Sus scrofa: one gene and its partner. The protein of the gene in region 1 binds, or shares a complex with, the protein of each later gene. Links are inferred from orthologs where the notes say so. Each region holds a gene or a part of one and is shown in the gene's direction. Other genes may lie near its edges.

Region 1 (4,474 bases):
CCCCTCATCGGTTCCCAGACCGCAGCCTACACCAGAGCCACAGCAACACCAGATCTGAGCCTCGTCTGCGACCTACACAACAGCCCACTGCAATGCCAGATCCTTAACCCACAGAGCAAAGCCAGAGATCAAATTCAAAACCTCATGGTTCCTAGTCGGATTCGTTAACCACTGAGCCACGACGGGAACTCGTTTTTTGTTTTGTTTTGATCTGGCCTTAGTCCAACTCCCGAACTGTGAAACTGGGTTATTACCTATTTCAAGGGTGGTTGTGAGGCTAAAGGGCAACAGCTGACACTCAGTTTTTCCCAGTCTATGATTGCAGAACAAAGGTGAATGGGGTGAGGGCAAGTGGGGAAAAGCATTCTAAGAAGGAGAAAAGCACATTCCACAACTACAGATCCAGACTTCCCATTTGCTCAGGGTGTTAAGCATCCAGCACTGTCACTGCAATGGCTGGGGTTGCTGCTCCGGCAAAGGTTCAATCCCTGGCCCAGGAACTTCCACATGTCCCAGGCACAGCCAAAGAGAAACCACCCAAAAAACAAAACAAAAACCCCACAACTACGGACCCAAAAAGAGCTTGAAGAATGCAAGGGGGGCGGGGGCGCTGGGTGGGGTAGCTGATGGTCTTGAGGGCCAAGTTAAGAAACTTGGACTATTTTATAAGAAAAATAAAGTGAAAGACTCTCTGTCTGTTGAGAGAGAGACAACAGCCAGGTTGTTATTTCCATCAAAACTACTCCAGCCAGGTAAATTATTTAATAAATCTAATTGTACACAAAAGGGAACCGCCAGGAGCAGAGAAGGGGTATAAACTGGAATGTGACTTACCAGTTGCGCATTTTAGACGCAAAGATCCCTAGCACTCAAGCTGGACTAACAGAAGATTCCCTAGGGACTTGCCTTGAATTTCGTATATTTAAAAAAGTGTAACAACGTTTGTCATTTTTTTCTTTCATTCCACAATTTATATTCACTGTAGAAAATATGAAAATACAAGAAAGTTTAAAAAAGTGTAAACAATTGTTAATTATACCTTTCAGAGATATCCCAGTTGATACTTTTCTTCCAGCGGTTCCCCCCACCCCCCGCCCCCATGCAAAAAACCCCGCATTCTTTAGAGTGGCTGATGGGCGGAGTATGCGGAGGGATCACCGTTAAAGCGTTCTCGATAATACCCTCGGCTCTCGCTCTCGCTCTCGCTCTCTCTCTCTCTCTCTCTCTCTCTTAACTAGATCCACACCAACAGGCCGACTGAGTGCGCGCCCACGTGTCAGGGAAAGTCCCCACCACTGCGCCGCCGCCCTCGCTCGCCGCAGGCCGGTCTTTAGGGGGCGCTGCCCCAAGGCCCGGCCGGGAAGGAAGGGAGGCCGGGAGAAAACGCGTTGGAACTTGGGCCCCGCGGCTGTCCGTAGTCAGCATTCCCCAACATGGCGGCTCCCCAGGATGTCCACGTACGGATCTGTAACCAAGAGATTGTTAAATTCGACCTGGAAGTGAAGGCGCTTATTCAGGTACTAATTCCCAGGACCCCCAATGGGGACCAGCGGCCCGAAACCCAAGTGGTTTTGGTTTTCTTTCAGCTCGGCGGTCTCACTGCTGAGCTTTCCCCATCTGGTCAAGTCTCCGAGGTCGCTGGCCCCGCCCCCTTTTCCTAGCTGCTCCCCTTTTGGTCCCGTTCCCTTCATCCCCTGGACTCTTCTCCTTGATCCTTCTTCCGGCTCCCGTTGGCTCGCCCTCTCCAAGGCCTCTCCTCTCCCTCTCCCTTCCCCAGCCTCCGCCTCAGGCCTGGCTACCTTTTTGTGGCCCCTGCCCCACTCCGGCCGTTTCCTCGCCCTGCCCCAGTCTCCAATTTACCTGTCATCCTGCTTGGCCCTGCCTTCTGACACCGCCCTTTCCATCCTTTGGTAGAGTCCTGGGGGCCGTTAACCCCGGCCCCTGTGGCCAGTTCCGTGGGTCTGATGTCCCGGGTCACCAAAGGCCCCTTGGCGCGGGAGGCACTGGATGAAGTGAACGTAACCTGGACGTTGTGATTTGTAAATTAGGAAATCGAGTCAAGGGCCAAGGCCTGGGTCAGAGGGCAGATAATGGCAAAACTGGGGTCGGACAGGGAAAGTCAGTATAGAAAAAAGACTTGAGTCTACTTCGTTTAACAGATGGGGTAATTGAGGTCCTTTGTTTTAGGCCGTTTGAGGGTAGAAGATAACAATAAACCCCTTGGCATAGGCAAGAGTTAGGAATGTAGAAATGGTTACTTGAGTTTAGCAAAAGGAAACCAAGAGTTTAAAATCTTCATTTGAGGCAGATCGTTTCCATTTACAACAAACGTTACTAAACGTTGGATGTAGACTGAGAATTTGCAGCCAACTGTGGTAAAAGGTGGAGGAAAATAAGGCTCCCCACAGAAGCCAAATGCAAAATAAACCAAATTAATAGTTTATTATATGGAGCAAAGAAGTGTGATTTAATGCATAATCCATAGAACAAGTGAGGCAACTTGATGCAAACAGTTAAACTCTTGAACTTCATGTTTCCGATGTATAAACTACAAACCTCTGGGCCAATTTTAGAAAAATAAGTTGAGGAGTCATAAAACAAACGAAACTGTCTTTTCACATAATCTATATTGCTTAAGCCCTTTTGGGCACTCTCTAGCTCTCTTTGTTCTTGTGATGAGAACAGTTGATCATAGCTAGAGTTAGCGCATTCTTACTGTGTTCCAACTCCTCTGCTAAACCCTTTACTACATACCTGATCTATGAAGTAGGTAATGTTGGGATGAGGAAACTAAGGCACATAGGACTCAGTAACTTTTTCAAGGTAAAATAAAACAGCTTATAATTGCTACAACCAGAATTTGAATGTACATAATATATCCTAGGGCCTGCTTTAAAACCTGGCCCTGGAAATTCTGAATGTCCAGAAGCAAATTCTAAATCTATCTTTGAGCATGTTTATAAACAGTGACTTACAATAGAGGGTTTATAAAATTAGATCAAGAAGTTAATCTTGTCATATAATGCCAAATATTAGCATCCTGACTTTTTTTTTGGTCTTTTTGCTATTTCTTTGGGCCGCTCCCGCGGCATATGGAGGTTCCCAGGCTAGAGGTCCAATCGGAGCTGTAGCCACCGGCCTATGCCAGAGCCACAGCAACATGGGATCCGAGCCGCGTCTGCATCCTACACCACAGCTCACGGCAACGCCGGATCGTTAACTCACTGAGCAAGGGCAGGGACCAAACCCGTAACCTCATGGTTCCTAGTCGGATTCGTTAACCACTGCGCCACGACGGGAACTCCGCATCCTGACTTTTAAGTTGGAACCATGTAACATTACAGTCTAATGTTATAATACGTCAGAGTTCCCATTGTAGCGCAGTGGAAATGAATCCGACTAGGAACCATGAGGTTGTGAGTTCAATCCCTGGCCTCACTCAGTGGGTTAAGGATCTGGCGTTGCTGTGAGCTGTGCTGTAGGTCACAGACGCTGCTCAGATCCTCTGTTGCTGTGACTGTGGGCGTAGGCTGGCAGCTGTAGCTCCCATTGGACCCCTAGCCTGGGAACCTCCATATGCCATAGGAGTGCCCCCCACCATTAAAGTAAAGCTACAGTCTGTCTTTTAGATGTCCATTCCTGTCACAAGTTGCTTTAAGTCTTTCATAATGGCTGAATGGAGTTTTGGTAAACTTCAGGAACTAATAGGTCAAGATAGAGTTGTGTTTCTATCTGTGCTTTTATGTTACTTGCTGAGAAGTTATCTAAAGCGGGATGAGAAAAATGTAAATTACATTGTTTTTGCTTGTGTTGTAGAGGTAAACATCAAAGATCAGGATGAATTTCAGTTAGTAGGCCAAACTTAGTTGTGACCTAAGCCAACTCTCTCACGGTACAGCTGGTGTCGTTTCATTTCATTGCCTTGAGAAAGGCTCCCTCATCTCTTCACTTTTTCCTAGGATATTCGAGATTGTTCAGGACCCTTAAGTGCACTTACGGAACTGAATACTAAAGTGAAAGAAAAATTTCAACAGTTGCGGCACAGAATACAGGTAAGTGTCCGCAGAGCAGGGATGCTGAGACTGGGCAGCATTCATTGTCCTTGGAATTTTTCAACTTGAAGACTCAGAGATCACTTGAATTAACTTTCTTTTCTCTACCCCTCTCTCTAACCCATCCACCTCAATTCATTACAATTATCTGGTAATGGTTTTTTTTTTCATACTGTCACTTTGGCCTCTTCCTCTCTGTTTCTGTGTCTCTAGTCGCATCATATGCTTATGTAACAGTCTTGAATTCAACTAGGGTATATGTGCTGTTTCCAAAATCATTAGAGCAAGGAAAGTAGGTGTTTCTGTGCTGTGCCCTGAGTGAGGGTAAGCTGGTAGCATGGGTCTGTCCATCCCTGGGCGGGTCTTGGGGCACCTGGTCTCCATCCATGTGATGCTGGATTTAGAGACTTGTGCTTTTTATC
Region 2 (4,544 bases), on another chromosome or scaffold:
CCCACCCAGCCCCACCTCCTCCCTGCGCGTCCCACGTCCATAGCTCCCGCTCACCTCCCGGTTGTAGGCGCGCAGAGCCTCCATAACCACGTCCTCCTCCCCCGTCTCTATAGCATCCACTACCGCCCGAGGCTCCATGGCGCTCCCGGGACCCCGGCCCGAGGAAGCGGAAGGTACCTCGCTCCAAGGCTCTGGGCCCCAGACGGCCCGCCCGGCCCTAGCTCGGCGCGCGGGGGAGGCCGGGAAGGGGCGTGCGCGGCGCCGCGCGGGCGGGGGCCCGGGCTGCGCGCGGCGCCGCGCGGGGCGGGGGCCCGGGCTGCGCGCGGCGCCGCGCGGGGCGGGGGCCCGGGCTGCGCGCGGCGCCGCGCGGGGCGGGGGCCCGGGCTGCGCGCGGCGCCGCGCGGGGCGGGGGCCCGGGCTGCGCGCGGCGCCGCGCGGGGCGGGGGCCCGGGCTGCGCGCGCCTTAAAGTGGAGAGGCCTAGAAGAGCCCTCGGGAATTTAAAGGCTTTGATGTCTAGTCACGTTGCCTTTCAGTGTCCGACTCAGTGGTTATCCGACCACGGGCCTGAATCGCTCCGGCTCCGAGCAGTGAATTCCCTACGGGAGAGGGCCTTAGCTTCTCACCCCGCTATTACACGCACACTACACCCCTCTTGATGTACAGAACGAATGAGATGTTCCGAGGAAAGACGAAGTGGAAAGGACTTTGCAGCCCCGGGACCACTTTGTTTATTAAGCAGGCGTTTGAGGGCCTACAGCATGCAAGGAACCAGGATGTGGGTGAACAGAACCCACAGGTCCTTGCCTTCGTGGAGCTTATATTGCAGAGGTGAAAACAAAAACGGGAAAACGGGAAGACTTTAAGCAGTCATAGTGCTGTGATTGAAAAAGGGGCCTGATGGGCTCCAAGGGGATTTGAATAAGTGTCGCTTTTGCTGAGACCAGAGGAAGAAGTGAGCCAGGAAGGGATGTGGGGGAAGTTCATTCAAGGCCGAAGGAGCCGGCAGAGTAAAGGTGGGAATGGCCGTTGTAGGAGAAAGAGATCATTGTTGGGGCTGAGAGACAGGGGAGAGTGGGGAGGGAAGGTCCAGGTCAGGATGAAGGCAAAGCCTGATCATGTGCAGGGACTTCCTGGCTGTGTAAGCAGACACATCTTCTGGCCTGGACCCAGTTCCCTCTTTTGAAAAGCAGAGATGATAAAAGGTCCCATTTCGGTGGGTTGTCAGCACTAAACGACACAGAGTGAATGCTCCATTACAGTGGGTGAATAACATATACTCCACCCACTGCGCAACAAGCCTTTGTTGAGCATCTATTTTGTGCCAGACCCCTTGTCAGTGCCCGGGTGCAAGGTCGCAGCACCGGCTCCTCCTGCCCCTAACTCCCCTCACGCTCCCACTCTTCTTCCTGATTTCCCGTTTTCCTTCAAGTGCTTCATCCCTGAGATTTTTGCAGCGCTCGCTTGTTCCAGGCACTGATCCCCTCTTTATCCCGCCGGCAGCATCTGGAGCGTGCTTCACACCGAGTCCTCGCCTTAACCGCACCGCAGCCGGGCGGGCCTCGGACCCCGGGCCGTGTCGCCGCGAGGAGCCTCTCTCGCCTGAGAAAGGGCCGTGAGCTCTTTCCAGTTAGGATTTGACACCGCCTTCGGCAGGAATGGCCGCGGAATTGTCTGTCGGCACCATGATGCTATTAAAAACGATAACCTTCCAGCAGTCCCAGGAGCGAACCAGCGGCCCTGTTCACAAGGCAGGCGGTGGAGGAAACGTCAGTTCTTCTCCGTCCAGCCCGCTCGCCCGCTCGGCCGGAAGTTGGAGGGCCCCGGGCGGAAGGGGCGGGACGGGAAGTCCCTCCCCGACGGCTGCGCCACATCCCGGGAGGCTGTAGCTCTGCGGGTCCGTGCTGGGCGCGATGGCGGACTGGGCTCGGGGTGAGCATTGGGGAGCGGAGGCAGGTGGCGGCGGTGCTGGAACCGATGCCGCTGCCTGCAGGAGTCGCTTTCGCCCGCCCCCGCCTCTCTGGGTGGCTTTGGCCGGCAGACACTGAGAACAGGCGGAGCCAGGGCGGCGTGGGTGGGGCCCTCGGGCGGTCTTGCCCGGCTTCTCGGTGAAGCTGCGGGGTCCGGATGTCCGCTGTCCCCACCCCTTCCGCCCTCGTGAGACTGTTCTGCACGGGACCTCAGCCAGACGGGCTGGTCGACTGTTCCGGAGGCCAGCCCCAAGGAGTGAGGGCTGCGCGTGATGGCCCAAGAAGGCCTCGTACCGACTGGGGCTGGGAGTGGCCCACTTGCCCTCTGGGAACCCCTGTTCTTATCTGCGAAGTGGGATGCTGATGCTTGTTTCCGCTGGGCTTGCGGCATTTACAGATTTAATGGATGAAAGCGGTTGGTAGGATGCTAACATCTCGTGGCATCTTTACACATCCATGATTTCTAGGGTTGTGATCCTATTAGATGAGCCTCCCTGAGACATCTGGCCCACGGCAAATCTGGCCTGTGAACTTGGGGAGGCAGTTCTCATCTACTTGATAGGATGGTTATACCAAGTCAAGTCATAAGTCCCAGCCCCTGTCCTGGGCCAGGTCTCAGCAACCACTGCTCTGGGTGTTGTGTAAGGCTCTGTGTAGGATGCAGAGCTGAGCAGATCTATGCCCTGCTCGTGAGATCGACCTCCCCTTCTGTTCATGACTTTTTCCTAAGTCCTTGCCAGAGTTTACTGGTTTTCTCTGAGAACAGGTCCCCTCTACGTCGCTGGTGACATCTGGGCTGACATACCAGTCCATCCAGAGGGGATGGTACAGGTTTTGTCACAGAGTATCAGAAGGTGCTGCCCACCCATCCGGGCTTGGATGCCTACACAGAACAAGTGCTCTCGCACGCTGTCCTTCACGCGGCTGTCTCGTGTGTGAAGTTCACGCTTTGGACCCTGGGTTAGGGCAGGACCTGTTCAGCAGACACAGGAAAGCCCAGTCCCCCTGGACTAGATGGAATTGGAGTGAGAGCCCTGAGGGCAGAGGTCAAGAGGGTGCGCGTGGGTGGGTGCACACTCTCACCCCCTCTCTGTCTCTTCTCACAGCTCAGAGCCCCGGCGCTGTGGAGGAGATTCTAGACCGGGAGAACAAGCGGATGGCGGACACCTTGGCCTCCAAGGTCACCAGGCTCAAGTCGGTCAGTGGTGGTCCTCTCCTTTCACCTCCATCTGGCCTTCTGGAGGAGGGCGTCAGAGGGAGGGTGGAGGCCTGGAAGGGGTCCAGATAGTTCTCTCTTTGTCCCGTACATGGCAGCACTCACCTGTGCTGGCCCAGGTGACATTTGGATCTCCTGACCTCTGCTGATGCCGTGGGGGGTTAGGAACAGTCCGTTATTTTTGTCCTGGCCTGACCCTGTCCCCTCTGTGTCCTGAGCAGCTGGCCTTGGACATTGATAGGGATGTGGAGGACCAGAACCGGTACCTGGACGGCATGGTAAGGGTCTGCGGTGTTCTCGGCCCCACGTTACCTGCCCTGCAGGCACCCCCCCCCCCCCCCCCGCGTGTGTGTGCTGTGGAGTTGCTGCCCCGTGTGACAATGCTAGGATTCCTCCCTTAGGACTCGGATTTCACGAGTGTGACGGGCCTCCTCACGGGGAGTGTGAAGCGCTTTTCCACAATGGCGAGATCTGGGCGAGACAACCGGAAGCTTCTCTGTGGTGTGGCCATGGGCCTGATCGTGGTCTTCTTCATCCTCTCCTACCTCCTGTCAAGGGCAAGGACGTGAGCCAGTGGGAACTGGTTTCTGTAGGTACCTGGGACAACCAGGGTCTTCCTCTGCCTTGTGTCCTGGGCTCCAGAAGATCTACCTACAAAATACCCCTTCGAAGTGATGAGCATGGCTTAGGAATCTTTTTCCTGTGTGGCTGGGAGCCTCTGACCCAGTAAGCTCATGTTAGCTGGTCCCATGTGTGCAAGGGGCCCATCCCCATTGGGTAACCAAGGCCCAGCTTCCTCTGCCATCTTGGGTGCTAGAAGCCCTAGCAGAGCCAGGTTGGAGCAGAGCAGCTGGGAATCCTGGACGTGACCACCTGTGACCAGCAGCCCTTCCCCCAGCCCTCAGGGTTCTGATGTATTGAGGCTTCTCTGCTTGGTCTTGGTCTGGATAAGGCCACGTCTGGTATTCGAGGTGCCCAGAGCCGACACAGGAAGGGGTGCGACTGTGAACCTCGAATCATTGCTGTCACTTTCAGCCAAGGGTCCTCAAACCAGAGATGGCCGTTGCTCCTGGCCAGGGCTGCCGGGCACTGGTGGACCAGCAAGAGTCAAGGGTCCTGCCGAGAGGTGTCTGCCTGCCGTCCAACCCCATGGCTGGAGCCCGACCCTCAGGGAAGGGCAGTGGCCATGCGTGGAGAAGTGAACTGCAGCATTGGCTGAAGACGCGGGCCCAGGTCCTCCTGGTCTCCCTGTGTCCAGGAGCAGAAACTGACCTTTTCTCAGGATTCAGGGTCTGTCCAGCACCGAGACACGTTTCCAGGAGCCCAGATCTCTAGAAAGAGGCTCATCTGGCATGTCAGA

What was found. Proteins that work in one complex are often made in the same cells at the same time.
Region 2: BNIP1 (region 1) and BET1L share a complex: the UniProt entries of both Homo sapiens proteins name them as parts of the SNARE complex. The link is inferred for Sus scrofa from reciprocal best matches to the Homo sapiens genes BNIP1 and BET1L.

The regions. Positions count from the first base shown.
Region 1 is NC_010458.4:51,137,074-51,141,547, reverse strand, and holds the start of BNIP1 (vesicle transport protein SEC20), read left to right. Parts: upstream 1-1,158; 5' UTR 1,159-1,433; coding exon 1,434-1,517; intron 1,518-1,860; exon of another isoform or gene 1,861-3,102; intron 3,103-3,959; coding exon 3,960-4,052; intron 4,053-4,474. UniProt on the Homo sapiens protein: As part of a SNARE complex may be involved in endoplasmic reticulum membranes fusion and be required for the maintenance of endoplasmic reticulum organization. Also plays a role in apoptosis.
Region 2 is NC_010444.4:27,888-32,431, reverse strand, and holds the start of BET1L (BET1-like protein), read left to right. Parts: upstream 1-1,970; 5' UTR 1,971-2,325; coding exon 2,326-2,383; intron 2,384-3,074; coding exon 3,075-3,166; intron 3,167-3,405; coding exon 3,406-3,462; intron 3,463-3,585; coding exon 3,586-3,753; 3' UTR 3,754-3,773; exon of another isoform or gene 3,774-4,544. Other genes in the region: RIC8A (synembryn-A), read right to left, coding at 55-138. UniProt on the Homo sapiens protein: Vesicle SNARE required for targeting and fusion of retrograde transport vesicles with the Golgi complex. Required for the integrity of the Golgi complex.